Linked DNA regions of Stegostoma tigrinum. The protein of the gene in region 3 interacts with the protein of the main gene of each other region in a pairwise test. Links are inferred from orthologs where the notes say so. Each region holds a gene or a part of one and is shown on either strand. Other genes may lie near its edges.

The links.
Region 1: the proteins of atxn1a (region 3) and ttc19 interact in binary tests that used the Homo sapiens proteins (3 or more experiments, as listed by UniProt). The link is inferred for Stegostoma tigrinum from reciprocal best matches to the Homo sapiens genes ATXN1 and TTC19.
Region 2: the proteins of atxn1a (region 3) and pepd interact in binary tests that used the Homo sapiens proteins (3 or more experiments, as listed by UniProt). The link is inferred for Stegostoma tigrinum from reciprocal best matches to the Homo sapiens genes ATXN1 and PEPD.
Region 4: the proteins of atxn1a (region 3) and tollip interact in binary tests that used the Homo sapiens proteins (3 or more experiments, as listed by UniProt). The link is inferred for Stegostoma tigrinum from reciprocal best matches to the Homo sapiens genes ATXN1 and TOLLIP.

What each region holds. Positions count from the first base shown.
Region 1 is NC_081358.1:127,544,296-127,551,666, forward strand, and holds the start of ttc19 (tetratricopeptide repeat protein 19, mitochondrial), read right to left. Parts: upstream 3,019-7,371; 5' UTR 2,985-3,018; coding exon 2,825-2,984; intron 1,998-2,824; exon of another isoform or gene 1,873-1,997; coding exon of another isoform or gene 1,830-1,872; intron 1,523-1,829; coding exon 1,431-1,522; intron 1-1,430. UniProt on the Homo sapiens protein: Required for the preservation of the structural and functional integrity of mitochondrial respiratory complex III by allowing the physiological turnover of the Rieske protein UQCRFS1.
Region 2 is NC_081369.1:65,641,618-65,648,541, reverse strand, and holds the start of pepd (xaa-Pro dipeptidase), read right to left. Parts: upstream 3,007-6,924; 5' UTR 2,946-3,006; coding exon 2,929-2,945; intron 1-2,928. UniProt on the Homo sapiens protein: Dipeptidase that catalyzes the hydrolysis of dipeptides with a prolyl (Xaa-Pro) or hydroxyprolyl residue in the C-terminal position.
Region 3 is NC_081355.1:38,405,264-38,412,571, reverse strand, and holds the start of atxn1a (ataxin-1a), read left to right. Parts: upstream 1-4,305; 5' UTR 4,306-4,742; intron 4,743-7,308. UniProt on the Homo sapiens protein: Chromatin-binding factor that repress Notch signaling in the absence of Notch intracellular domain by acting as a CBF1 corepressor. Binds to the HEY promoter and might assist, along with NCOR2, RBPJ-mediated repression. Binds RNA in vitro.
Region 4 is NC_081370.1:25,089,750-25,096,896, reverse strand, and holds the start of tollip (toll-interacting protein), read right to left. Parts: upstream 3,008-7,147; 5' UTR 2,873-3,007; coding exon 2,837-2,872; intron 1-2,836. UniProt on the Homo sapiens protein: Component of the signaling pathway of IL-1 and Toll-like receptors. Inhibits cell activation by microbial products. Recruits IRAK1 to the IL-1 receptor complex. Inhibits IRAK1 phosphorylation and kinase activity.

The DNA.
Region 1 (7,371 bases), on a different chromosome or scaffold from region 3:
CAACCTACTCAAACTATCTCACAAGAGTATCCCTCCTTATCCAGGATCAAACTACTGAACCTTCTCTAAACTGTCTCCAATGCCAGTGTGCCTTTTATTGGATAAGGGGCTCAGAACTGCTTCAAGTATTCAACTACAGTCTGACTTGTATAGGCCTTGTATAGTTTTAGCAAAATGACTCATTCCCTTTGTAAAAGGAAAGCGAAGATTGCATTTGTCTTCCCTATTACCTGCTGAACTTGGATACTGGCAATTTGAGATCCGTGCATGAGAAATCACAAACTCTATGCTGTAGCTTTCTGCAGGCTTTCTCTATTTAAATAATATTTGCCTCCTCTATTCTTCCTCACATGTCCACCACATAATATTCCATTTAAAGTTTTTGCCCACTTGCTTAACCTGCCTATATGCCTCTGCAAAGTCTTTGTGTCACCCTCACTACGAGCCTTTCCACCTATCTTTGTGCTGTCCACAAATTGGACTACAGTACAAATCATGAAAAGGGTAGATAGAAGTGGATAGTGAGAAGTTCCTTCCACTTGCAAAAGGAAGGAAAATGAGATGGCGTAAATTAGAAGTCTCGCAAAAGCAGCAAATGTGATGAGAGTTCATTCTTTTCCACCTAGTGAACAATTAGGGTCTGGAACGTGCAGCCTGGAAACATGGTCGAGGCAGCATTCACTGATTACTTGGATACAATAACATGCAAGAGTGTGGCGGAGCAAGGACGTAGGAGATCGGTCACACATGACAATGTTCATTTGAGGAACTGTCGCGCCCAATGGCATCAATCTGCACCATAACAATTCTGTGATATATTGCAAATAATTGCAAGAACAGTATTGATCCCTATGGCACTCAACTAGTTATAGGTTATCATCTGAAAATACCCTCCGTTATACAAACTGATGTTTTAGCCAATTCTCTATCCAGGCTAATATAGTGCCTCCTTCTCTTATTAAATAGCATTATGTGTGGTACCTTCTCAAACACCTTCTGAAAATCCTAACACATCACATTCACACTTTTCCCCTTATCTAATCCTCTTCATTATTACCTCAAAAGAATTCTAGAGAACTTATCAGGCATGTTTCCCATTGATGAAGCCATCTTACTATTGCTTGATTATATTTCTAAATGCTCTGCTATTACATCCTTTATAAAAGACGCTAGCACTTTCCCCAACAAGTGATGTTAAGGTAACTGGCTTACAGTTACCAAGCATTTTGGTTGCTTCTGTTTTCAAATTAAGGTGTTACATTGGCAGCTTTATTATACTTGATCCGTGCTGACACCACAAGTTTATTCCTCCTGGTAAGGGTGGACGTCATTTGGGCCAGAATGGACAGCCAGAGGACCTACTGCTGACTGATGAGATGACAATGTTTGAGCTGGCATAAAGGGAGAGTGAGAAGCAAACCATTCTGAACCTTGGACTTTTTGATCAGTAGGATGATCGCATCCTCAGGGTCCTGTTGCTCCTTCTCATGGTGCGAGAACAACTGGATGGCAGCAAGAAACGCTGGAGAGAAGGAAATCAGAAAACAGCACTTTAGAGAAAGTGAAAGAAAAGGAGGCTGGTTGGTGATCACAATTATGAGAGAGTCCAGAGTGAAGTAAGTGGATTGGCATGCTGACTATAATGGGGCAATCACCAGGGTAGGGGGAGGAACAGGGGTGAACACTGCAGGGAGGGAGGGCGACATATGTCCACAGAACATGAAAAACCTATCTCTTGATCCTGTAACTAGGGAACCAACATCCATGAGGACAGGATCACAACACTGGGTGGAGTGAGATCAGCTGGAGATCACTGTTCACTGCCCTACCCCAAGAGGCAGGGCACACCGCCTGACAAGCTCCATGTCCCATCGATGCCAGGACAACAGCCCCGTCTCCCGAGAGGCTGCCCCCCACTGAGAGAGCAACTTCAAACCTCTCAGGAAAGACTCCCCATAGTCCGTGGGGGGGGGTGATAGGGGAAGGTCGGGTGGGTGTGGGACGGGGGGGGGGTGATAGGGGAAGATCAGGTGGGTGTGGGACGGGGGGGGTGATAGGGGAAGGTCGGGTGGGTGTGGGACGGGGGGGGGTGATAGGGGAAGATCAGGTGGGTGTGGGACGGGGGGGGGGTGATAGGGGAAGATCAGGTGGGTGTGGGACGGGGGGGGTGATAGGGGAAGGTCGGGTGGGTGTGGGACGGGGGGGGGTGATAGGGGAAGATCAGGTGGGTGTGGGACGGGGGGGGTGATAGGGGAAGGTCAGGTGGGTGTGGGACGGGTGGGTGGGGGTCACGGGGAAGAGGAGAACGGGGTAGGTGGAGGAGGGGGGGGAGAAGAAGAGAGGAAGGTCACGCGGGGGGGAAAGAGGGGAAGGTCACGGGGGGGGGAAGAGGGGAAGGTCACGGGGGGGGGAAGAGGGGAAGGTCACGGGGGGGGGAAGAGGGGAAGGTCACGGGGGGGGAAGAGGGGAAGGTCACGGGGGGGGGAAAGAGGGGAAGGTCACAGGGTGGGTGGGGAGGGGAAGGTCACGGGGAGGGGTGGGGCAAGGTCACGGGGAGAGGGGGTGGGGCAAGGTCACGGGGAGAGGGGTGGGGCAAGGTCACGGGGAGAGGGGTGGGGCAAGGTCACGGGGAGAGGGGTGGGGCAAGGTCACGGGGAGGGGTGGGGATCACGGTGAGGGTCAGAGCACTGCATGGACCCTGCGGCCCGGGCCACGGGAGCCCACAGAGAGGGGAATCAGGTCGGGACTGAGGACGTCGGGGGGAGGCGGGGTCAGTGCAGGCTCCGCCCAGGGCCGGGTGACCGACCGGTTCCACCCCTCTTACCCACTGCCGCCGCGCTCAGGTTCCCATTTCCGGGGCGGCCGCGGCTCTCCGTTCGGGCGTGGGCGTTGGCCGGGGCGGGGGCGGGGGCCGCGGCCCAGGCGCCGCGAATCCTGACCCTTCGGCCGCAGCTCAGGCCCCGGGATACTGCCGACGGCAGCATCACCCCGGCAACGGGGCGGAAACACGTCAACACCGGAAACAGGTAGCGGAACATTTGATCAACAGACATTTAAAGGGCCAGGTACCCCCATGTTCTTAAAGGGCCAGGTACCCCCATGTTCTTAAAGGGCCAGGTACCCCCATGTTCTTAAAGGAGTCTGGAATTAAAGTGTCTGGGTGGCGGGATGTGTGTCAGACTGATTTCTGATTTTGTGAGAACACGTTTTCTCACTGCTTTTTTGGTGGACTTTATAAAGTTAAGGTGTAAATTTAACCAGAAATAGTGTTTATTTCACACATTGTCAGGTGTACGGTGGGCAATACTTTACAACAGATACATGCTGACATGGCTGCACAAGGATTAAATTGAAAAGGATAAGGCAATTGTTCAGTTCGTAAAAAGTGCAAACAAACCGAGTGATAAAATGTGAGGCTGGATGAACACAGCAGGCCAAGCAGCATCTCAGGAGCACAAAAGCTGACGTTTCGGGCCTAGACCCTTCATCAGAGAGGGGGATGGGGGGAGGGAACTGGAATAAATAGGGAGAGAGGGGGAGGCGGACCGAAGATGGAGAGAAAAGAAGATAGGTGGAGAGAGTGTAGGTGGGGAGGTAGGGAGGGGATAGGTCAGTCCAGGGAAGACGGACAGGTCAAGGAGGTGGGATGAGGTTAGTAGGTAGCTGGGGGTGCGGCTTGGTGTGGGAGGAAGGGATGGGTGAGAGGAAGAACCGGTTAGGGAGGCAGAGACCGGTTGGACTGGTTTTGGGATGCAGTGGGTGGGGGGGAAGAGCTGGGCTGGTTGTGTGGTGCAGTGGGGGGAGGGGACGAACTGGGCTGGTTTAGGGATGCAGTGGGGGAAGGGGAGATTTTGAAACTGGTGAAGTCCACATTGATACCATATGGCTGCAGGGTTCCCAGGCGGAATATGAGTTGCTGTTCCTGCAACCTTCGGGTGGCATCATTGTGGCAGTGCAGGAGGCCCATGATGGACATGTCATCAAGAGAATGGGAGGGGGAGTGGAAATGGTTTGCGACTGGGAGGTGCAGTTGTTTTTTGCGAACTGAGCGGAGGTGTTCTGCAAAGCGGTCCCCAAGCCTCCTTGGCAACTGCACCTCCCAGTCGCAAACCATTTCCACTCCCCCTCCCATTCTCTTGATGACATGTCCATCATGGGCCTCCTGCACTGCCACAATGATGCCACCCGAAGGTTGCAGGAACAGCAACTCATATTCCGCCTGGGAACCCTGCAGCCATATGGTATCAATGTGGACTTCACCCGTTTCAAAATCTCCCCTTCCCCTACTGCATCCCTCAACCAGCCCAGTTCGTCCCCTCCCCCCACTGCACCACACAACCAGCCCAGCTCTTCCCCCCCACCCACTGCATCCCAAAACCAGTCCAAACTGTCTCTGCCTCCCTAACCGGTTCTTCCTCTCACCCATCCCTTCCTCCCACCCCAAGCCGCACCCCCCGCTACCTACTAACCTCATCCCACCTCCTTGACCTGTCCGTCTTCCCTGGACTGACCTATCCCCTCCCTACCTCCCCACCTACACTCTCTCCACCTATCTTCTTTACTCTCCATCTTCGGTCCGCCTCCCCCTCTCTCCCTATTTATTCCAGTTCCCTCCCCCCATCCCCCTCTCTGATGAAGGGTCTAGGCCCGAAACGTCAGCTTTTGTGCTCCTGAGATGCTGCTTGGCCTGCTGTGTTCATCCAGCCTCACATTTTATTATCTTGGAATCTCCAGCATCTGCAGTCCCCATTATCTCTAACAAACCGAGTGATACCAGTTCATCAGTGTCTTTGATTTTGAAAATAGAAACCAAATGGTTGAGGCCAGAAGTCGCAGCATGAAATGAGGATGAATGGTGATCGATTGGCTGACGAGCTGTTCAGAAGTCAGAGATAATTTGTTCCCCTTAAAAATTCCTTATAAACTCAACTCAAGAATATTCATAGAATCCCTGCAGTGTGGTAGCAAGCCATTAAAGTCCATCAAGTCCACACCACCCCTCTGAAGAGCGTCCCATCCAGACCCATCCCAACTGTCTTATCCCCTGCCTTTCCCATGCTTAATCCACGCCAATTCTTGGACACTGTGGGCAATTTCCCATGGCCTGTTCACATAACTTGCAAACCTTTGGACTGTGGGAGGAAACCAGAGCACCTGGAAAAAAAAACAGAGATAATGGGAACTGCAGATGCTGGAGAATCCAAGATAACAAAGTGTGAAGCTGGATGAACACAGCAGGACAAGCAGCATCTTACCACACAGGGACAGGGAGAATGTGAAAATTTCACATGTGGGTGAAATTGAACCCAGGTCCCTAGCATTATGAGGCAGCAGTACTGACCACTGAGCCACCATGCTGCCTAATATTGCTGTAATTTAATTTTGATTTAACTGCTTTAACAAAAGAAGGATGATTACTTTGAGAGCACACAACATACAGGTTCTGACGAGTTATTCCTGACCCGAAGCATTAACGTCTTTTTTTCTCCACAGAACCTGCCAGACCTATTTGGTTTCTCCAGCAATTTCTGTGCTTTTCAAATTTGTTTGCCAGATGCTGTAGTATTTTGCTTTTATACAAAAAGCACGTTATTAACTGCTTTTTACATGGCAGAGTCTTCTCCTTTGTCGCCTGGAATTATGTGTTTCGATATCATTGAATATATCTGTAAATAAATACATACAGCAGAATTAAAAGGTTCAGAACTGAAGGAACCATGTGATCAAGCTTCCAGGGGGGAGGGCATGTTGGTGGAGGGGTGCAGAGTGAAGAGGGGTGTAACCAGTTATTTTGAGACAAACAGTTGCATTCCACATAAACACGTCTGCTACAGAATAGGGCTACCTTCTAATTTTATTGAGGATGATATTCTTCCCAGGAACAATCAGTCTCTGTGGCACTTTATAACACAATAGTTGGAATTCCAGTCCCATCATGGGGTGTTGATTATCCAACTGACTCTGACTTCAGAGAAGCTTCTGGTTAGTTAATGCTAAGTTTTTGTAACCAAGTGAGCACTAGTGAGTGGTATCTTTGTGCACTTTTTGCTGTACTTTATGTGTTCCTGTATTTAGTACATGTGACAAATAAATGAATCTAAGTCCAGTGACATTATTGTGACAGCATCTTTATTGGGCTGTTTAATATGTTTCTAAGAGTCATAGAACATAGAACAATACAGTGCAGAACAGGCCCTTCGGCCCTCAATGTTGCGCCGACCTGTGAACTAATCTAAGCCCCTCCCCCTACATTCTCCCATCATTATCCATATGCTTATCCAAGTCACTAAATATAGCCCTAAGAGAAACAATTAATCACTTTTTTTCTTTACAGAACCAGCTTCAGCAGTGCCCTAGACCAGCAATAGTAGGACATTCAGCCCATCGAGTCTGTTCCGCAATTCAATGAGATCATGGCTAATCTGATAATCCTCAACTCCACCTTCCTGCCTTTTCTTCACAACCCTTGATTCCCTTTGCTGATGAAAAATCAGTCTTAAATATACTTAATGACCCTGTCTCAAAAGCCCTCTGTGGTAAACAATTCCACATCTTCACAGCCCTCCAAAACAGGAAATTCCTCCTCATCTTTGTCTTAAATGTACGAGCCTTTATTCTGAGATTAGACCCTCTGGTCCTAAACTGTCTGATCTTTCTGCATTGACACTGTAAAGCCCGTAAGAAACTTGCATGGTTCAATAACGTTGTCTCTCGCTTTTCTAAATGACAATGAGTACAGGCCCAATCTATTCAACCTCTCTTTATAAGACGGTTACACTGTACCTCGCATCAGCCACGTGAACCTTCTCTGGGCTGTCTCCAATGCAAGGACATCTTTTCTTAGATAAGGGGCACAATTTTAATTCTAAAAAGGCATTTCTTACAATGTTGTCAATTTCTGCTGTTTTTCCTTGTTCTCTTGTAATTGCCCTGATGGTTGTTTTTTTCTGTCCTTAGTTTGCATTGTTTGTCCTGTTTTGTTTTCTATCATTATTTAGCATCATTCAATAATTTTAATAAGCACAGTATGGACTCAATGGACTCCCAGCAAATTCTAAAACATTGATATAAATTGCAAGAAGCTGAGGCCCCAGCTCTCCTGTGATAGCAAATGCAATTCTATTATTCAAAAAGTGAGGAAGACAGAACACTCAGGTGATGCTGAGGAAGTGGGGAGGCTGCAGAATGACTTGGACAGGCTAGAAGAGTGAGAAAAGAAGTAGCAGATGGAATACAATGTGGGAAAGCTTTGGTAGGAAATTTGGTAGGAAGAGTAGAGGCTGAGACCATTTTCTAAATGGGGAAAGGCTTCAGAAATCTGAAGCACAAAGGGACTCAGTCATAGAATCATAGAAAGAGGCCCTTCAACCC
Region 2 (6,924 bases), on a different chromosome or scaffold from region 3:
AATGTTCTTCACTGTCAACGATACCTCCCAGTTTTATATCATCCACAAACTTACTAATCATGCCTTGTACAGTCACATCCAGATAATTTATGTAAATAACAAATTACAAAGGTCCCAGCACTGACTCCTGTGGCACAGCACTGTCACTGGCCTCCAGTCCGAGAAACAACTTTCAACCACCACCCTCTGCTTCCTGCCATCAAGCCAATTTTGAACCAGACGTTCTTCCACATACAGTCGTGAACGGTGGTGGACAATTAAGCAACTCACAGGAGGAGGCACCTCCACAAATATCTCCATCTTCAATGATGGAACAGCCCAGCACATCAGTGCAAAAGGTAAGGCTGAAGATTTCGTCACAATTTTCAGCTAGAATAGCTGAGTGGATGTTCCATCTCAGCCTCCTGCAGTGGTGTCCAGCATCACAGATAACAGTCTTCAGCCAATTCAATTTAGTCCACATGATACAAAGAAATGGTTGGAGACACTGGATCCTACAAAGGCTATGGGCCATGACACACCTCTGGCAATAGTACTGAACATTTGTGCTCCAAAACTTGCTGCTGCTCCCCTAGCCAAGCTTTCCAGTACAGCTGCAACACTGGCATCTATCCAACAATGTGGAAAATTGCCCAGATATGTCCTGTTCACAAAAAGCAGGACAAATCCATTAGGTCAATTGCTGCTCCAATAGTCTCCTCTCGATCATCAGTAAAGTGATGGAAGGTGTCAGTAACAGTGGCTATCAAGCAGCACATGCTCAGCAATAACCTGCTCAGTGACACCCAGTTTGGGTTCTGTCAGGGCCACTCAGCTCCTGTTCTCATTACAGCCTTGATTCAAACATGGATAAAACAGGTGAATTCAAGAGGGGAGGTGAGAGTGACAGCCCTTGAAAACAAGGCTGCATTTGACCAAGTGTGGCATCAAGGAACCCTGGCAAAACTGGAATAAATGAGTATGAGGGGGGGGAAACTCTCCAATGGTGGAAGTCATACCTGGCACATAGGAGGATGGCTGTAGTTAGTGGTGGTCAGTCATTTCAGTTTCAGACATCTCTGCAGGAGTTCCTCAGGGCAATATCTTAGCCCAACCATCTTCAGCTGTTTAATCAATGACCTTCCACCCATCATAAGGTCAGAAATAGGAATGTTTACTGATAATTGTACAATATTCAGCACCATTCCAACTCCTCGGATACTGAAGCAGTCCGTGTTCAAATACAGCAAGATCTGGACAATATCCAGGCTTGAGCTGACAAATGGCAAGTAACATTCATGCCATACAAATGCCAGGCTATGACCATCTCCGATAAGAGGCATTCTAATCACTGCCCTTTGACATCCGATGGTGTTACCATCGCTGAATCCCTCAATATCAGCATTCTTGAGGTTACTATTGACCATAAGCTCAACTGGACTCGCCATATCGACAATGGCTACAAGAGCAGGTCAGAGGCCAGAAATCCTGCAGCAGTAACTCACCTCCTGACTCCCCAAAGCCTGTCCATCATCTACAAGGTACAAACCAGGAGTGTGACAGAATACTCCCCACTTGTCTGGATGGATGCAGCTCCAACAACACTAATGAAGCTTGACACCATTCAGGACAAAGTAGCCCCCACTTGACTAGCACTACATCCTCAAGCATCCTACTCCTTCCACCAGCACTGCATGTTATTTGCTAGATGCACAGCAGAAATTCACCAAAGATCCTCAGGCAGCACTTTCTAAACCCTTGGCCACTTCCATCTGGAAGGACATGGTCAACAGAGGGTCTAGGCCCGAAACATCAGGTTTCCTTCTCCTGAGATGCTGCTTGGCCTGCTGTGTTCATCCAGCTCCACACCTTGTTAACCCAAATGCCATAAATGAATTTTAAAAATTCTAGAAACGCTCAAGCCAAAGGGAGAGATGCAACAGACAGAGTCTCTACTTCATTGAAGCTACCACACCAAAGAATTACTGGTATTTGCTACTTTTGTTGCAGTCATTGGCGATCCTGTATTTATGACAATGTGGCCTGGACACTCCCCTACAAGTGCAGCAACTTCCCCATGAAGACTGTATTCAACCCGGTCGTAATATTCATGAACAAAAACAGAAAAAACAGAAATTGCTGGAAAAGCTCACCAGGTCTAGTAGCATCTGAGGAGAGAAATCAGAGTTAACGTTTCAGGTCCGAAACATCAACTGATTCCTCTGAGATGCTGCCCGACCCGCTGAGCTTGTCCAGCAATTTCTTGTTTTTGTTTCGGATTTACAGCGTCTGTCGTTCTTTCAGTTTTCACGACCTTCAAGATCCCGAACAGTTCTGACTTACTGCTTCAGTTTGCCAAATGATCAAGTTCAGATGCACTTTCACAAAAGATTTCATCTTTAACCCGGTGAAAACATTTTTTTAAAAAACACTTTTTAAAAGATCAACTCAGGAATCGACTGACAGACACAAGTGCTCGCTTGGTGTGACGGTAAACAAGCAATTTTATAAACAAACAAATTCACAATACGACATATGACGCAGTGTTTCACACCGAGTCTCAGCTCCACCTGAGGAAAGCCACTCACCCCTAGCCCCACAGGGCAGGTACAGGGCCAAACTCCCCCCCACACCAAACAGGGAATCCGTCCCCGCGGCCCGTCTATCCCTACATCAGTCAGGGACTCCATCCCGGGGGGAGTGAGGAGGCTCCAGAATGGGAGCTCCGCTCCAAACCGGCCTCCCCCACCAACCAGATCCCTGCCCCATAGCAACGCGGCTCGGAGCACGGCCCAGTCGCTCTTCTGACACCCCGACCCCCGGACACACACACTCACACTTTCCCCCAATTACCTACCCCATTACCCCATTACCCCATTACCCCATTACCCCATTACCCCATTACCCCATTACCCCATTACCCCATTACCCCGACTCTCTGTCACTCACTCTCCTGTCACCGCCATGTTGCTGGTTTCTGCTCTCACGTGAGCTGCGTGGCCTTTAACCCCAGTCGGGTCACGCCCTCTTCCCCATTCGCCAATAGTGACTCGACGAGGGGTGGGGTGGGTCTGGAAACGTGTGGCCGCAAAGACCGCCGGGATTTGTAGTTCGCTTTTCCTGCCCACACTGAGCCCGCCCAGTCCGACACCGTGCGCTCTGACCCCGCCCACGGTGACCCCGCCCACTGTGACCCCGCCCTCTCCCCCGCTCAGGGAGGCCGCAGAAGCGACCCTTCAGCCCATCAAGGGAAGGGCCGTCTATCACTCCCAAACAGCTGCAGGGACTTCTTATTCTGCACTTCAGCCACACCATTTGTCTGGTCTTGTGAGCTCTCTCAGCCCACAAATTCTGTCAGAAATCACACAGCACCAGGTTATATTGGAAACATTAAGTCAATAAATGTGGAGCTGGAAAAGCACAGGTAGGTCTGAGGGGCAGAAGCAACAATGTTATGGGCTGGGACGTTGGCATTCCTGCTTCTCCGGTGCTGTCTGACCTGCTATGCTATTCCATTTCCTCCTTTATTGACAGCACCCTACCAATGTCCTCCGACGCCACTCGCAGATTGCCCGTTGAACCCTAATGTGTCCTGGTTACCCATTGAAAGGATAGAATCAGACCAAGCTGCGATGGTTTCGGTGGTTGAATTGGCACGAGTCATATGAAGTGAGTGATCCTTGCAGCTGTAACTCAGTTTGAGTCAGCAATTTCAGATGTCAGAGAGTAATGATCATAAAATTATATTGCAGTGCTGGCCTATGGAAGGCGTTGGATTAGTTTTCAAAGGCTTTTTGGGTTTAAAGGTCCATGTATGCTGCAGAATGCAGCCAGGCAGGGTGGAGTGGAAAAAAAGTACTGGAGAAACAATAGGTTAGTCAGCATCATGGAGAGAGCACACCTTCAGAACAGAAACAGAATGAAAAATCCACATTTCAATAGAATTGGAAAATAGGAGAGAAAGCGCAAAGTTCTGGTGATGACCTTCCCCTAGCCATTGGTGGTCACAGTGCTGCAATTTTAAAACAAACCCCTCCTCCCAGCCATCTTCCTGCAAAAATTCCATCCCCTCTTCCCAATTCCTTCACCTCTGCCGCATCTGCTCCCAGGATGAGGCATTCCACTCCCGTACATCTCAGATATCGGGCTTCGTCGGAGGCTTACTGATGATGTTACCTAGAATGGTGACGAAATGTCTGAAAACTAACCTTCCAGCTCGGCGAGCAAACTCACATCCACATCTCAGATATCCTCGTTCTTCAAGGACCGCAACTGCCTCCCCCCTCAGTGGTCGAGAACGCCCTTGACCGTGCCTCCCGCATTTCCCGCAACACATCCCTCACACCCCGTCCCCACAATAACCGCCAAAAGAGGATCCCCTTGTACTCACATACCACCCCACCAACCTCCGGATACAACACATCATCCTCTGACACTTCTGCCATCTACAATCCGACCCCACCACCCAAGACATTTTTCCATCCCCACCCCTGTCTGCTTTCCGGAGAGACCACTCTCTCCGTGACTCCCTTGTTCGCTCCACACTCCCCTCCAACCCCACCACACCCGGCACTTTTCCCTGCAACCGCAGGAAATGCTACACTTGCCCCCACACCTCCTCCCTCACCCACATCCCAGGCGCCAAGAAGACTTTCCACATCAAGCAGATGTTCACCTGCACATCTGCCAATGTAGTATACTGTATCCGTTGTACCCGGTGTGGCTTCCTCTACATTGGGGAAACCAAGCAGAGGCTTGGGGACTGCTTTGCAGAGCACCTATGCTCAGTTTGCAATAAACAACTGCACCTCCCAGGTGCGAACCATTTTAACTCCCCCTCCCATTCCTCAGATGACATGTCCATCCTGGGCCTCCTGCAGTGCCACAGCAATGCTACCCAAAGGTTGCAGGAACAGCAACTCATATTCCACTTGGGAACCCTGCAGCCCAATGGTATCAATGTGGACTTCACAAGCTTCAAAATCTACCCCACCCCCACTGCATCACAAAACCAGCCCAGCTCATCCCCACCTCCCTAACCTGTTCTTCCTCTCACCTATTCCCTCCTCCCACCTCAAGCCGCACCTCCATTTCCTACCTACTAACCTCATCCCGCCCCCTTGACCTGTCCATCATCCCCGGACTGACCTATCCCTTCCCTACATCCCCACCTGTACTCACCTCAACAGGCTCCATCCCCACCCTTTTAACTTGTCTGTCTCCTCTCCACCTGTCTTCTCCTCTATCCATCTTTCATCTGCCTCCCTCTCTCTCCCTATTTATTTCAGAACCCTTTCCCCATCCCCCTTTTCTGATGAAGGGTCTAGGCCCGAAACGTCAGCTTTTGTGCTCCTGAGATGTTGCTTGGCCTACTGTGTTCATCCAGCTTCACACCTTGTTACTAAAACATTGCCACATTGGTGTTCACACCATACAACTGCCAGGCGATGACCCATCTCCAACAAGTGAGAATCTAACCACTGAGCCTTCATTTTCAGTAGCCTCACCATCAATCTATCCCCAGCTATCAACATCCTGACAGGTTACCATTGACCAGAAGCTGAACAGAGCTAGAGGTACAAACACAGTGACTACTCCAGCAGGTCGGTGGTTACAAATCCTGCAGCAATAACTCAACTCCTGACTCTCCAAAGCCTGCCCACCATCTCCACATGGATGAAGTCAGGTAACAGATTGAAATTTTACTTTTGCTGTGTGATTAAGATACTTCTGACTGAGTTCTATATTTAAATAGCTTCATTTTTATTAATTTTTATTTTGTGAAATGCTTTCTGTTCAGTTGTTGTAGAAACACAGCGATTGGGCATCACACTACCTAAGCTCTTTTTTGAAAAATCCATCAAACCAAATTTTCATTCTGGAGCTTGTCCTTGTGTGACTTTCCCAGCATTACTATCAACTGGGATCATTACACTACCCTGAACAAGTCATCATTGCACCAATGGACAGTGTTGGCCAACAAATCCCTATCAAAAGCCTGGATCAATAGCAAGCCCAGGAGGATGGGGTGCGAGCAAATGGAATAGTTGAGTTGCTGATCACATCCACCCCCTGGAAGCTTTGCAGAACGATTTTCGAGATGTAGATGAAGACTTACAGAGTTGAACGGTGTTTGAAGGATGAGTATAAGTCAACAACGCTGACAGTCCCTGACTGGAAATTCTACAGTCGATGCAATCACTAGAACGCTGCAAAATAGCAAAGCGTGTAGAAGATGTGGCATTTTGCATGGTCTGAGGATTTATTTCTAAAATACATTTCTGGGACATGGGCATTGCCGGCTGAACCAGCATTTATTGCCCCTCCCTAGTTGCACTTGAAGAGGTGGGGGTGAGCTGCTTCTTGAACTGCTACAGTCCATTTGCTGTGGGTTGACCCACAATGCCCTTAGGGAGGGAATTCCAGGATTTTGACCCAGTGGCAGTGAAGGAACAGCGATACGGTTCCAATTCAGGATGGTGAGGGGTTTGGAGGGGAACTTGCAGGGGATGGTATTCCCATGTATCTGCTGCCCCTTGTCCTTCTAGATGGAAATGGCCATGGGTTTGGAAGGTGCTGTCTGAGGATCTTTGGTGAATTTCTGTAGTGTGTGTTTTAGACGGTACACACTGCTGTGACTGAGTGTCGGTGGTGGTGGGTGTGGATGTGGTGCCAATCAAGTGGAGACTGTTTAGTCCTGGATGGTGTCGAGCTTCTTGAGTGTTGTTGGAGCTGCCCCCATCCAGGCAAGTGGGGAGTATTCCATCCCACTCCTGACTTGTGCCTTGTAGATGGTGGGCAGGCTTTGAGGAGTCATGAGGTGAGTTACTCACCACAGTATTCCCAGCTTCTGGCCTGCACTTGTAGCCATTGTGTTAATGCAGTGAGTCCAGTTGAGTTTCTGGTCAATGACAAACCCCAGGATGTTGATCTGAGGGGATTCAA
Region 3 (7,308 bases):
ATGACCACAATTTACAAATCTCCGGTAAAGGGAAAAATGCTTTCAACATCCCCCTCATCCTAATGGCCATCTTTATGTATGGCTCCAAAAAGCTATACTTGGACCCTGTGCAGAAAGACCGAAATGTCAATCTATGCTCCAGTTCTATCTGTCCTCATTTAGTCACATTGGTTCAGAATGCTCATCAGTTAGCTTGTGCTGCACCAGCTGGCCATGCAGAAATGTTTCTGCAGAAAAACAACTTTGACCACAAGTTAATCATGCACCGAACTGGAAATCAACCTACTTGAGATCCTGCTGGAAAGGAGATAGTGGATCTATTAGATGATTCCTGCACCAACATTTTCAAACAAGTGCCAGGACTTGGCTTGGCTGCTGAAGAAAAGGGCACTCTGTGTCAGATCCTGAACACATACCTAATAACTCCATGCCAGTATACACTGTCCCTGTGACAGCTGAGCTGGGGAAGAGACTATCACCCCTATACTTCCAGAATGTGCATTGCATCTGGAAAGTAATGTAAGATTTTTGTTTAAGTTTACCTTGAACAATTCCTTATCACAGGACTCTGCTCCACGGATAGTTCTCAACAGTGCACACCAAGTAAATATTAACTGCTGCTTGATCCATAAACTTGCTGAATGACAAAGAGCTGAATACGACTGATTGTTGCAGACTGCCAAATTCCAAGGTGCAGGATGACATATAGTGGGATGCTGTTAACCTGAATGCAGCCACTTGAAAGGATTATTGGTAAGGCTACAGTACAGAGCTTTGCTACCCTTGAACACAGAAGGGCTAGAGCCAATATAAGACCCCTCAAGATTTATATGTGTATCTGAAATTAAGCGCAGAAAATATACAATTGTTGTAACACAAAATGAGGTTATTGAGCCTTTGCTAGCACTGTGCAAGACCAAATTAGCTAGTTCCACACAAACAGAAACAGAAACAGAAGTGGCTGGAGAAACTCAGCAGGTCTGGCAGCATCTGTGGAGATAAAACAGAATTAACATTTTGAGTCCAGTGACCTTTCTTCAGATCTCCAGCATCTGTGATTCTTGAATTTATTTTAGCTAATCCCATGATCTAACCTTTCTCCATAGTCCTGCAATTTATTCTGTTCAGATGCTAATCAATTCCCTTTTTAAATCCATGATTAAAACTACTTTCACCACTCTCCTCATAGTATATTCCAGAATCTAACCACTCACAACATTGTATATTGTCCTTATATTGCATTTAGTTCTTCTTGTCTTTCATCACAATCAGTATCTTCTGTTTCTCAACCCTTCTGCCAAAGGGAACTTTCTCTTCGTCCAGTCTGCAATAACACCATTAATGCTTTTATCACCTTTATCAAATCCCCTTTCAATCTTCTCTCTTCTAAGAATAATCCCAGTTTGTCTAATCTTACCATGTAACTGAAGTTCCTCATTCACAGAATCACTGTTGCAAATCCTTTCTGCATCCTGTCTAAAGCTTCACATATTATAAATAGATTATATCCAACAACTCAGAGTAGTAAGGGTATGGAACGCTTTGCCTGCAACGGTAGTGGATTTGCCAACTTTAGTACATTTAAATCATCATTGGACAAGCATATGGATGTACATGGAATAGTGTAGGTTAGATGGGCTGCAGATTGGTACGGCAGGTCGGCACAACATCGAGGGCTGAAGGGCCTGTACTGTGCTGTAATGTTCTATGTTCTATATAGTACTTTTAATAGAATAAAATGATACAGAGCACTGCATAGGAGCATTATAAAACCAAATTTGGCATGAAGTCAAGTAAGGAGATACCCACAGGTGACCAAAATTGTGTTTAAAGAGAGATGTTTTAAGCAAATTTCAAAGGACAAAGGAAAGGTTTTAAAGGAGGAAGTTTCTGGCAGTTGAAGACACCAGTACTGCAGCAATTAACAACAAGATGCTTAAGAGACTAGAATTGGATATCTGTAGATGACTTAGAGGGTTGGCGGGCTGGAGATGAATTCAAAAATAGGGAGGATTGAACCATGGGTGAGATTTCAAAACAGGTATGGGAATTTTAAAATCAAGGCATTGCTTAACTGGAAGCCGTTATAGGCAAGCAAAGCAGAAAGATGAAATGAGCAGGACTTGGGGCAAATAAAGGCAGAGGTAGCAGAATTTTGGATGGCATCAAGTTTACAGAACAGAAGAATGGGAAATAAGAAGATATGAAAATGGGAATTGATGGTCATAGTGATGTGCAGACTGCGGGCAGAATCTCCATTCTGGCTGGAAGTTTTGTACCGTCTGGCTCAGATTTAAACAGGCAGAAGATGCAGTCAATGGCAAAGAAAATGAATGTATAACGTGGGTTAAAGAAGATTGGTTCAATTTTCCCAAAGCTTAATTGGAGAAAAATAATGTTATGTAAGTGCAATATTATTTTTGTGCAGTCTGTATGTTCCATGGAGTAAGGGATCCTTGAGTGCATGAATTATATTTATTTAAATTGATCTGTATTCAATGTATACTGAATTATACTGTAATTTTATAATTTATCAATATATAATTCTGGGACAAACAGGCTCTTCTAGATCTAAGAACCAAAGTTTAAGACTTTCCAACATGTGTTTGATTTACTGAAGAGCCAGGGTCCAATCTATCCTGTTGGTATTCCCCATCCCGATCATCACCCCTTAACTATCTTAGGGTGGGATAATGCCAGGTGCATGCAGGCAAAACTAAGGAATGACCTTCACATTACAGAGGTCAAGGTGATTTGCAGGGCACCTTTTACTGATTCCTATTCCCCATTTAAGATTGTGTTTTTAAATATGTTAAATATGCTAGTTAATGCTATGAGAGTTAGCCTAAAGCTAAATACCATATGTTGCCATTGTAGAGTGCTGTACAGTCCCAGTAAACCATGACTAAGCTAATTCATCGCTCTGTATCAGTTCATAAACCAGCTGGCATTTTAGAATTACGTCAGAAATGAACAGTACAGTCAGTAATCTTATGAGTTTCCATATGTTAGTGCTTTAAGTGTGCATTTAATGGGAGCAGTTGATTACAGGGAACTACCACAGTCAATTCTATTTGTGTTTTATGTTGCATGTACATTTATTAAAAATATTGTGCAGCATCCTATGTATAAAACATTTTCTTTAAAAAATGATAAAACCCAGAACTACATAAATAGGTATATATCTCAACTGCCACTTAGTTTTTTCAAATGCATTTATCAGGACTTGACGGCTCTTTGAATCCTTAAGTTTTACAACTCTGAGTACATTCAGTTTCCAAAAATACATGTATTACGTTGAAAATTATTATACTATAATTGGAACACTGAACGTCAGACAATTCCAAGCAATTGCAGCTTAGAGTACTAAATTGACGCATTGTAATTTCTGGGAAACAAAAAGCTTTAATTTCATCCATGTAAATAAGGTGTTGGAACAGGATCCACTGACATTTCCACTAGGAAAACAACAGTAAGACTGTGTCCAGCACTTGGTGTTGTAAAGGACAAACACACTGCAGCAACCCTAGTGTGTGAAGTCTGCACTGCATTGAAACATTACATCATCCCTGACCAATCAGAAGTGAATGAGTGACTGGGAGCGATTCCAGCTGTTTATGTTGCTCTCAGGAAAGAGTGAGCGCGGCCCTTCAGCTGGATGGGATATTCCTGCAGCGTGTTTCTGTTTAAAGGAACCTTTCCAAAACTGCTCCACTAACGCCCTTTTTAAAGGGATATTCCGCAGTTCACTTCAGCAGACAGCGCATTTCGAAATCAAGGATCACATCGATGACGAAGGCAAAGTTTTAACTGCAGACGTTGGAAAGATGAGTGGGAAAGGCAATCTCATACTCGAAATCAAACCTTGAAGGGTTCGGCTTTGAAGTATAAATTGGGTTCAAGTGAAAATGCATGGGTGTCATTGGAGTAGAGCGAGTGGAATCCAAAACGCACATGCATCACACACTTACACCAGTCGTTTGCACTTGGGACAGTTTGAATTTGAGCATTTCCTCCATTCAATAAAATCCATACTTCAGAATGACAAAAGCTTGTTAAAAGCTGAAAAAAGTTCTACTTACATAAATTGGTTCATACATATGTTGATATATTTATCGTCTATTCAGATTCATTTTACCTTTCTATTCGGCCCCATTTCTTCCACTTCAGCACAGTAAGTTCCTGCATCGGACGAGTTAAATTAGTTGGCAGCTTGCAATCTGCACTGTTGCAACAAACACGTTCTATTGTACTGCCCTAGGCAAGTTACTCGACTGGCTTTTAAAGGACTTCTTGGTTGTACTGTACACGTGACTTTTACAAGTTTAACTTTACTTTCAAAATTTATCGCACTCCTGCGCTGACGCGTAGATGTATATACCATGCCCGTACATAACACACTGCAATATGTTGACTGTGTTCTGTTGCAATTAGGACTTCTTTACGTAGTTTTCTTCTAGCCCTCTCAACGCGCTCACATTAATCTCTGGATCTGTTGGCAGCCGGCCAGTATGTGTGTTGTCTTGCATCCTTTGCATATAGTAGAATCCTTAAGCTATCAGCAGACGCAGCCAAGTGCTCCATATTTGGCTTATGTTACACACACGCAGTGAGAGCGAGCGCTGGAGGAGAGAAGCAGAGCAGGAGTGGTGTCTGCAAGACAGACATTACTACAGAGCTACAAGCTCGGCTTCCTTCATCGCGGAGCGCCACGTCTTGGGCATCACCGCCTTTTTGATGTTGTAAGTGTTTTATATAAAGAAATATATATTTTACGGTTCTTCTCCAGCGACATTGGCTATTTGCTTTCATTTCCTTGCTCTGTGTATGTGTAGGTTGTTATGAAATGGCTAGGCTCCCTCTTATAGTACAAACACAGCCTTGCTCAGAAATCTGATTGAGAAAACTGTGTGTGTATTTTGTGTGGTCTGTGTGTGATTATGAAGTGCTGCCCTGAGTATGTGCTGTGATGTTTTCGTCCGGGTTGTGTGTGAGTGGGGAGCGTTAGGATTGGGGTTGGGGGGACGGCAGGTAATGCTTGGGGGATGATGTTTTGCTGGGGAGGAGGCGGATGGGGGTGGGGGGTTGGGTGCTGGTAGGGGTGGAGACTGAGGGGATGCCGCGGCAGGGCTCGGGAAACGGCGGCTCGTCAGGGAGCTGACCGCTTGTTTAATCGGGTCATGTAGGAGACGGGCTCGCCAGAGCGTTGCGTAATCGGGTAGATAGGGCTGGTCTGCAGAAGGGAACATTTTTATCTTGTTTACAACGCTGCCGATACATTGTAGTGCGATATCTATGCGGTCAGACCATCCAAGCAGACAGTGGCACCACGCAAGTCTCTTTATTGTTACTACCTCGGTGACTCATCGGCAAATCTTATTCCTCCATCTGCTTTTTTCTACAACATTATTGCAGGCTGTTGGTTTTGAGTGTGTGTTGAACTAGGTCGTTATCGATGGCCAATAAGCATATAAAAATTGTTGGACTTGATAAATCTCAGCACATTTGTCCAAAGGACCTATTGGCTCCAGAATTTATCTGTAGCCCTTATCCCACAAACACGTCAAGAATTTTGTGTTTAAAATGAGTACAGTTTGTGTCAAATGAAAGAGCAACAAAGGGCGGCGAGATCAGTTTTTGTCCACTAGCATTATGCGTCTGACACTTTGACTATCCACCCTCCCGTCATTCAAATGCAGAAATTCAAGGCAACACCACATTAAACAAACACTTAAAACAAAACGTGGACATTGTTTTCTGGTGAGTCAGTAACTCCTCTTTCTGAGGCAGAGCTGCTGCGTAAAAAGATCATGAATGAGACTGGGAATACTATAATTATTTCCAAGCCATTGCATCAGTGTTGACAATAAGCAGTTAAAAATACATTAACTGTGTGTTAACATGTTCAATGCATTGGATAATGAAAGTCTCAGAAATGATTTCCATGTGTGGAAGTTCTTGGAGAAGCTGTCGTGTGCACTACACGTACAAAGATGTTGGTGTAGGATTTCATTGCGCTACCCCTGGACCTGATCAATCATGTAATTAGATCAGGTTGCCCTGGTAACTGACGTTATTTATCTCTTCAATGAGGTGCGCATGCTTATCTTGTAAAAGAGCTTGTGTCCTTCGGCATATTTCATACTGTAAGTGCCGGGTGGTCACATATTTATCCATTATTTTAAAATGGATTGAATCCGGTATTTATTTCAGCAGTAAATAAACATATTTGTTCGAAGTATTTCAAGATAAAAGGCCTTGTAACGTGTATACATAAAATACTAGCTGATAGCCAATCAAGGCCGTGTGATGGCAAGATGCTGCTGTGAACACCGCTTGAAGGCTTGCTGTTAAAGACCTAACTTGGAGGTGGAGTGTGGGTTATGTGAATCTGGCTCATTGTAACTGTTTAGAAACTGTTGAGGTCAGTCAAAGGGCAGTTGTAACTAAGTTTTAGGTGCCAGATCAGCGACTGCATTTACTGTCCGTTTAAAAAAATGTATCCAGTAGCATGGTGTGACGTAGTGTCTGGAATGTAATACATGCACCACACTGGATGCAAGTTTTTTTTTATACTTTTGTGTTTTCGGATGTAATAGTTATGCATGTTAGAATAAGCCACCTAGGTGTCTAAAAAATTATGTTGTATCTGTGGAACACTTGAGAATGTAGTATTTATTGTGCTGGAGATTTTCAAATATGATCTAATTTCTATTAAGTGGTAGAGATGTACATAGAAGGATATGATAGCCACATTTTCAATTTTGCTTTCTTAACAGAATCAATATAGATACACAATATATGGTGTTGTACAAAGTATCCACATTAAGTCTTCATGGAGATATTTAACATAATCTAGTGTCAATATCATAATTTGTGTTGAGTACGTTTTGGCTGAGGACCATTGGTGATCAGCAGTGAATTTTGAAAAATAGCTGTGTTTTGGCATGCATCAAAATCAGTACATCTTTTAGTATGAGCTGAAAGTAGGTGAGGCTAAAATAGTATCAGAGATAATGGGAACTGCAGATGCTGGAGATTCCAAGATAATAAAATGTGAGGCTGGATGAACACAGCAGGCCAAGCAGCATCTCAGGAGCACAAAAGCCGACGTTTCGGGCCTAGAGGTGAGGCTTGTTGTTGCTGGCACATACTTGAATGATTAATCTTTGTATTCATTTGAGTGATTAAAAAGAATCAATTACCTATACCTACGGGTATCAATCTCAGTATTCTATAATCAGGGAGATCATTCGGATACAAAGGAGACAGCTGAGTTGAGTCACAGTAGGTATTCATGTTTTTTAT
Region 4 (7,147 bases), on a different chromosome or scaffold from region 3:
CAGCTTTCAAAAAAAAACAAAATCGTTACTTTTAAAAAACAGATTCAAACATTTACCATTTTAAAACAAAAAGGAGACTGAAGGACATTTTTGCAAGTCAGTCAAACGGATAACAAAAACGTCTCAAAAGGTTAAAAGTCGACACGGAATTCCGAATCTTAGCAATAATGCTTTGAGCAGTTGACATGCTGAGGTCAAGGCAAAGAAGGAAATTAAAGGCATTCGCAGCATCACTTTACACACTTTCTTAGAGTTAGCGATACGATGCAACAACATAGCGGTAGATACACCATTAAAACAGGGCATGGCGTCAAAAAAAAAAAACCAAGGTGGCAAAATTTTCCAAATTTCCAATTTCTAATGTGCTCAAAGTGCTTGCAATCGAGAGGTGTGAATGGAATGCGTTCTTCGGCAGGATGAATTGAAACTTCCAACTCCAAAACAACCCTGAACAATGCCCAAGAAATGGGATCATGGATGAATTCACCCACAGGACAACACGTCACAGAAACGTCACCCCCTTGTCTAGAATAATCCATCTGGGGAGCTGTTCGACATCCCATGAGGGTCGCTGCTGATGGTGAGTCTTTTGGCAATATCACTGGAAAAAAGCAGTCTATGAACGGAAATACAGCTTGAAGGCGGTGGAAAACAAGCCTGCTGAGGTCAAGGCAAGGCAGCTTTGTGGCGATGTACAAGTTTAAATCCTGTGGTATCTTGAACTATATGCTTGTGTTCTGGCTTCGTAAACCATTGAAAGTTCTTGATTGGAATGATGGTCGGAAGATGAAATTCAACATACAGGTGTGAAGTGATACATTCTGGCACAAAGAACATGGAGACAAAGTATAAATGTGTCCACTGCTGTCTGTATGGAGAAGCCACACCCACAATGCCATTAGGGAGAGAGTTTCAGGATTTAGAAACAATGACACTGAAGGAATGGCAATATATTTCCAAGTCTGGATGGAAAGTGGCTTGGAGATGGTGTTCCTACATGTCCACTACCCTTGTCCTTCTAGATGTTAGCGAGTATAGGTTTGAAAGGTTCAGTCTTAGGAGCCTTGGTGAATTCCTGCAGACCATCTTGTAAATATTACACATTGCTGCTAAGCGTCATTGGTGGAAGGACTGAATGATTGTGAAAATGATGCCAATTCAAGTGGACTGCTTTGTCCTGGATGGTATCAAGCCTGAGTGTTGGCGCTGCAATCATCAAGGGAAGTGAGAAGAATTCCCTGACTTTGCCTTGGAGATGGTGGAAAGGCTTTAGGCAGTTACAAGGCGAGTTACACACTGCAGGATTCCCAGCTCCTGACCCAGCTGCTATACTTATATGACTAGTCCACGTCAGTTTCTGATCAATGGTAACCCCCAAGATGTTGATTGAGTGTTTCAGTAATGGCTACGCCACTGAACGTCAATGTTAGATTCTCTCTCCTTAGAGATGGTCATTCCTTGGTACTCGGATGTCACTTGGAGTATACAAGCTCCATGTGCCACACCATAGGAAGGCTGTGAATATACCAGAAAGACTGAAGAGGTTTGCAAAAAAAAAATGGTTTCAGGGATGAAACACTTCAGTTTTGGGGAGGCAATGAAGACATTGGGACTGTTTTCTTTGGAGAGAAGGCTAAGAGGAGATTTAATAGTTTTGATAACCATGAGGGGTCGAGACAGGGTGGATCGGAAGCAACTGTCCCCACTTCCAGAAGGATCAAGAATCAGCTGGCATGGTTTCAAAATGGCTTGCAAAAGAAGAAAATGCAGGGAACTTTTTTCCCCCTCAAGTAGTTAGTAGGTGGAGTCTGGAACGCATTGTCCAGTAATGGAAGTATTCAAGAGAGCGTCGGACAATTATTTAAACAGAAACAATGTACCAAAAGAAAGGAGATTGACACGAAGATAAAGTGCTCAAATAGCTGTTTCAGAAACTAATAAACCTAATGACTTTCCACACCATGAGCTTCCTGAGATTCTCGAACAGTCAAGAATCACATAATACGGTGATTAACATTGCTCACTTTCCAATTAATCTCGGAAGGCAGTGCGCAACGAGGACTAATAAATTGGGCAACCAATATCATCAGCACGGGACAGTGTGTTTTGGTAGAACTTGGGATGTTACAAGGTAGGACTTGTGTGATGAAACCACGAGGAATACACCCAACGTTGGCAACCCTACAACAGATGCTTTTTATCTATTCGGCACATTACCAACATGATAAACACTCAAGAACGTCAGGATAAGCGAATTCTATTTCCAAACAGTGGGATCACCGTCATCGAGACGCTACGTAACTGTCCTAGATAACAAGGTGTAGAGCTGGATGAACACAGCAGGCCAAGCAGCATCAGAGGGGCACGAAAGCTGACGTTTCGGGCCTAGACCCTGAAGAAGGGTCCAGACCCGAAACATAAGTCTGCTGTGTTCATCCAGCTCTACACCTTGTTATCGCAGGTTCTCCAGCATCAGCAGTTCCTAATATCTCTACGTAACTATCCTATACTGATGGAAATGTTTCTGAAGCAATCTGTCCAGTTATTTTCCTGATTGGCCCTTTAAACGTTCTTAAGACATATCAGAAGACAGTAAACATCCTCAGGATCTTTCTGTCTGTATATTCCAAGATGAACTTTTTTTTTAAAAAAGGAGCATTACAAAAACAGGAAGGACGGGACAAGACACGGGGACGGCAGCCAGCTGCGGGTAGGATCTGGCGCAGCCAAGCCCAAGAGCTCAGTCAGTACACCTACTCCCTGACAAGGCCGCACACTCCGCAGAGATCGTAGTCTCACATCACCCATAACTGGAAAATAAGAAGAGGAAACCTACCGGGCCCCTCTGGGTGGAGACGGTTGTAGCCGCCATGTCCAATCCAGCCAAGCCACACTCTCGTCCACCACTGCCACTACCCCTACAGCCGTTCACAGCTCCTTCTCTGGGCGGCGGAACATCAACTGGGCTAAGGGCCGCTCACGACTCCTGCTCATTGGCTGGAGGAAGGGGTGGGAAATGAGCTCAGTGCCTTGCCATCGGTTAATTCTCGCGCAGTGCCGGCGTGCGGGCCTCCACGATTGGCTGCTCCTGGGAAGGGTCTACACCCATAAGCGCTACGATTGGCTTTTTCGGGGTACAGCCTGCAATCACAAAGCTACGATAGGCTGCTCCTTCACCGGCTCTGGTATTCTGGGCCCTGTGATCGGTTAATTCTGGAGAAGGTAGATCTGAGCTCGCTGATAGGTGGCAGCCTCTTCCCGCTTCCACGGAATGGATGTTGATCAGTTTTTCTGGACGCGGCTCAGTGTTTCTAGCATTTTCTGCATCTGTATCCGAAGTCTGTCACTGCCAGCCTTTTCCTCGCTTCCTTTGCACCCGGGTTGAGGCTAGGGTACAACTTTTGTCCGACTGGTCATACCGTGTTTTTACAGGAAATATTCAAACCTGTTTAGAAATTTAAGATATATAAAGTTGTCACGATCGGCGACGTTAGCAACGAGTAACGCAAAGCTTTCCCAAAGAGGTAGGTTTAAAGGTGGGATAACTGTGGTTCCAGGGACAGACGGCGTGGGAGTGCATAACGTACTCAGCATGAAAAATAATTTATGCATTTTAACAAGGCAAAGGTTTTACCAGTCAATATTTTCACAATTTGACGTGTGTAAGCAATTCAGAATAAATTTACCATGGTCGTGGTATCACACTATTGTTGTAATGCATTCAAACATAATAATATGGTAACACTTCATTGCTTTTCATATCCATGTGGCCTGTGTTGGCTCAACTGCGCAAAATAAGGAATACTATTAATGAATTTGATTTGATTTATTATTGTTACAAATACAGTGAAAATTGTTTAGTGTCGCCATTATCCAGCACCAGTTTGAAACACAGAAAATAAACCAAAACATAGAAAGTGAAGGCAGAAAATAAAGAAATGTTCAGCTTAGCATAGACCTGGATCTGGGCACTTGCCCCACCCCGATGCTAAGAACAACACAAGAATGAAGCAGGATGATAAAATGTGAGGCTGGATGAACACAGCAGGCCCAGCAGCATCTCAGGAGCACAAAAGCTGACGTTTCGGGCCTAGAGAAGGGTCTAGGCCGGAAACGTCAGCTTTTGTGCTCCTGAGATGCTGCTGGGCCTGCTGTGTTCATCCAGTCTCACATTTTATTATCTTGGATTCTCCAGCATCTGCAGTTCCCATTATCACTGATCCAAGAATGAAGCAGTCTGCCTTTACTGCATTGCCGCCACTAGAACAGAGTTGCCATTCTTCACCCCCATGTTGCCTCTACTAATGCTGCTGCCACCATGAGTCCTTGCCGATGATGTAACCACCACCAATGCAGTTGAGTGTACGGGCTCAAACTTGACCTGGCTGCTGACCCAAGTCTGCATCATAGTCCAAACTCGGTGATGCAGTCGCTGATGCTACTGGGTCTTGGATTGGGCCCAAACTTGCTTCCACCATCAAGAATCCAAAAACTTGTCACGCTTCTGCACTGAACTCATATTGCCGCCAATGATGCTGCTGCTCTCAATAAGAAGGTAAGTTTAAAAAAATGAGGAAAATTAAAAAGAAAGACAAGCAACTGGAGCAAACAAGCCCGAACTGTTCCTGCTCTGTCTCCACCATCTTGAAGTAGGACATGCTGTGACAGCATGATGATGTTTGGCGATAGCTTCGTGTCCTGTTCTAAATTGTCCTGGCAGCACTCAAAATTGAAAATACTAATTGGCATACTGAATATTTACACAGATGTAAACATTCTCTGGAAACTGGTTGCTAATACTGGTTGATTGCACTATTTTCATCCCAAGGAAAGAAACATACTAAGGCAAGGACGAGGCAACCATGGCGAACAGGGTAAGTCAGGGACAGCATAAAAGCAAAAGAAAAACGTGCTGCGTTGGGAAGACTAGTAGGAAACTAGAGAATTGTGAAGCCTTTAAAAACCAGCAGGGGATGACTTAAAAAACACAAAGAGGGAGAAGATGAAATATAAGGGTAAGCTAGCTAGTAATATAAACGAGGATTGCAAGAGTTTTATTCGATATTTGAAAGGTAACAGAGTGAAGTGTAGACATTGGATAACTGAAAAATGAGACTGGCGAAGTAGTAAAGGAAACAAGAAATAGTGGAGTATCTGAATAGATACTTTGCATAAGCCTTCACTGTGGAATACACCAGTAACATACCAGAACGTCAGGATAGTCAAGGGGCAGAGGTGAGTGTCATGGCCACCACTAAGAAGAAGGTGCTGGGGATGTTGAAAGGTCTGAAGATTGATAAATCATCCGTACCAAATGGACTACACCCCAGAGTTCTGAAGGAGATACTTGAGATTGTGAAGGCATTGGTGGTGATCTTTCGGGAATCATTGGAATCAGGAAGCGTCCCAGAGGACTGGAAAATGGCTCTGTTTAAGAGAGGGAGGCAGAAAATAGGAAACTTTAGAACGGTCACTGGTAAAATTTTAGAGTGCATTATTAAGAACAAAAACAAGGTTGCTGGAAAAGCGCAGCAGGTCTGGCAGTATCTGTGGAGGAGAAAACAGAGTTAATGTTCCGGGTCTGGTGACCCTTCCAGCATTATTAAGGTTGAGAGTACTTGGAAATGCATGATAAAATAGGACTGAATCACCAGTGCTTTCATCAAGGCTTCATGCCTGACAGATCTATAAAAATTCTTTGAGGAAGTGATGAGCAACTTTGCCAAAGGAGTGCCAGTGAACCTGATCTATTTGGATTTCCAGAAGGCCTTTGATGAAGTGCTGCAGAGAAAGCAGCTAAATAAGAGAAGAGCCCATGGTGTTAGGCGCAAGAAAGTGGCATAGATAGAGGCTTGGCTGACTGGCAAAGGGCAGAGAATGGGATTAAAGGGGTCTTTTTCAGGATGGAATCCCGTGACTAATGGAGTTCAGCATGGTCAATGTTGGGACCACAACTATTCATGTTATACATTAATGATCTGGATGTAGGAACTGTGAGAATTGTTGCTATGTTTGCAGATTACACAAAGCTAGGTGGAGGGATAAGTGTATTAGAGGAAGTGGGGAGGCCTCAGAAGGACTTGGAAAAGCTAGGAGAATGGGCAAAGAAGTGGCAGAAAGAGTACTGTATGGTCATGAACTTTGGTTGGAAGAATAGGAGGTGGATGATTTTCCAAATGGGGAAAGGCTTTGGAAATCTGAAGCATAAAGGGACTTAGGAGTTCTAGTTCAAGATTCTGAACTAGAACATGCAGGCTCAGTTGGCAGTTAGGAAGGCAAACACTTGATTGCAAGAGCTGGAATATAAGAGCAGAGTTATACTGAGGATGCTGTATAACTGGACTTTCCAAGTTCTTCTGGTCAGACTGCATTCAGAATATTGTGAGCATTTTTGGGCTCCATATGTAAGGTAGGATGTGCTGACTTTGGAGGAGGTCCAGAGGACATTTTCAATAGTCATCCCAGGGATGAAGGGTGAGGAGTGGTGTGAGGAGCGGTTAAGACCACTGGCACTGTTCTTGATGGAGTGTCGAAGGATGGCAGGTGAAAATCTTATTGAGATTTACAGAATACTGAGAGGGCTGGATAGAGTGGATGTGGAGGTGGTTTCCACTAAGAGGAAAGAATAGGACCTGAAGACACAGCCTCAGATTAAAAATATCACCCTTTAGAACTGAGATGAGATGGAATTTCTTCACCCACAGGGTAGTGAATCTGTGGAACTCATTGCCTTGGAAGACTGTGGAGGTCAAGTCATTGTGTCTGTTTAAGACAAAGATGTATAGGTTCTTGATTAGTAAGGGTATCACAGGTTACTGGGAGATGGGAGGAGAAGGGGGTTGAAAAACATATCAGCCATGATCAAATGATGGAGCAAATCCAGTGGTCTGAATAGCCTATCACTTCTCTATCATGTGGCATTATTTTCAGTTTTTTTGTACATGAAATCTCGCACTTATGTCACACATCATCCAGGCAGCCCCTCAGCTGTGGCAGTTTTGCAATGTCAGAGCTAATAGTGATAGTAACAAAAATGATCAGGTATGGCTGTCTAATATATTTATTATTATCTTAACATTCATCCGGCACCATCATCAAAAGCAACTTGCACTTTGGAGTTCTGAAGAAAAGTCAACAGACTTGAAAT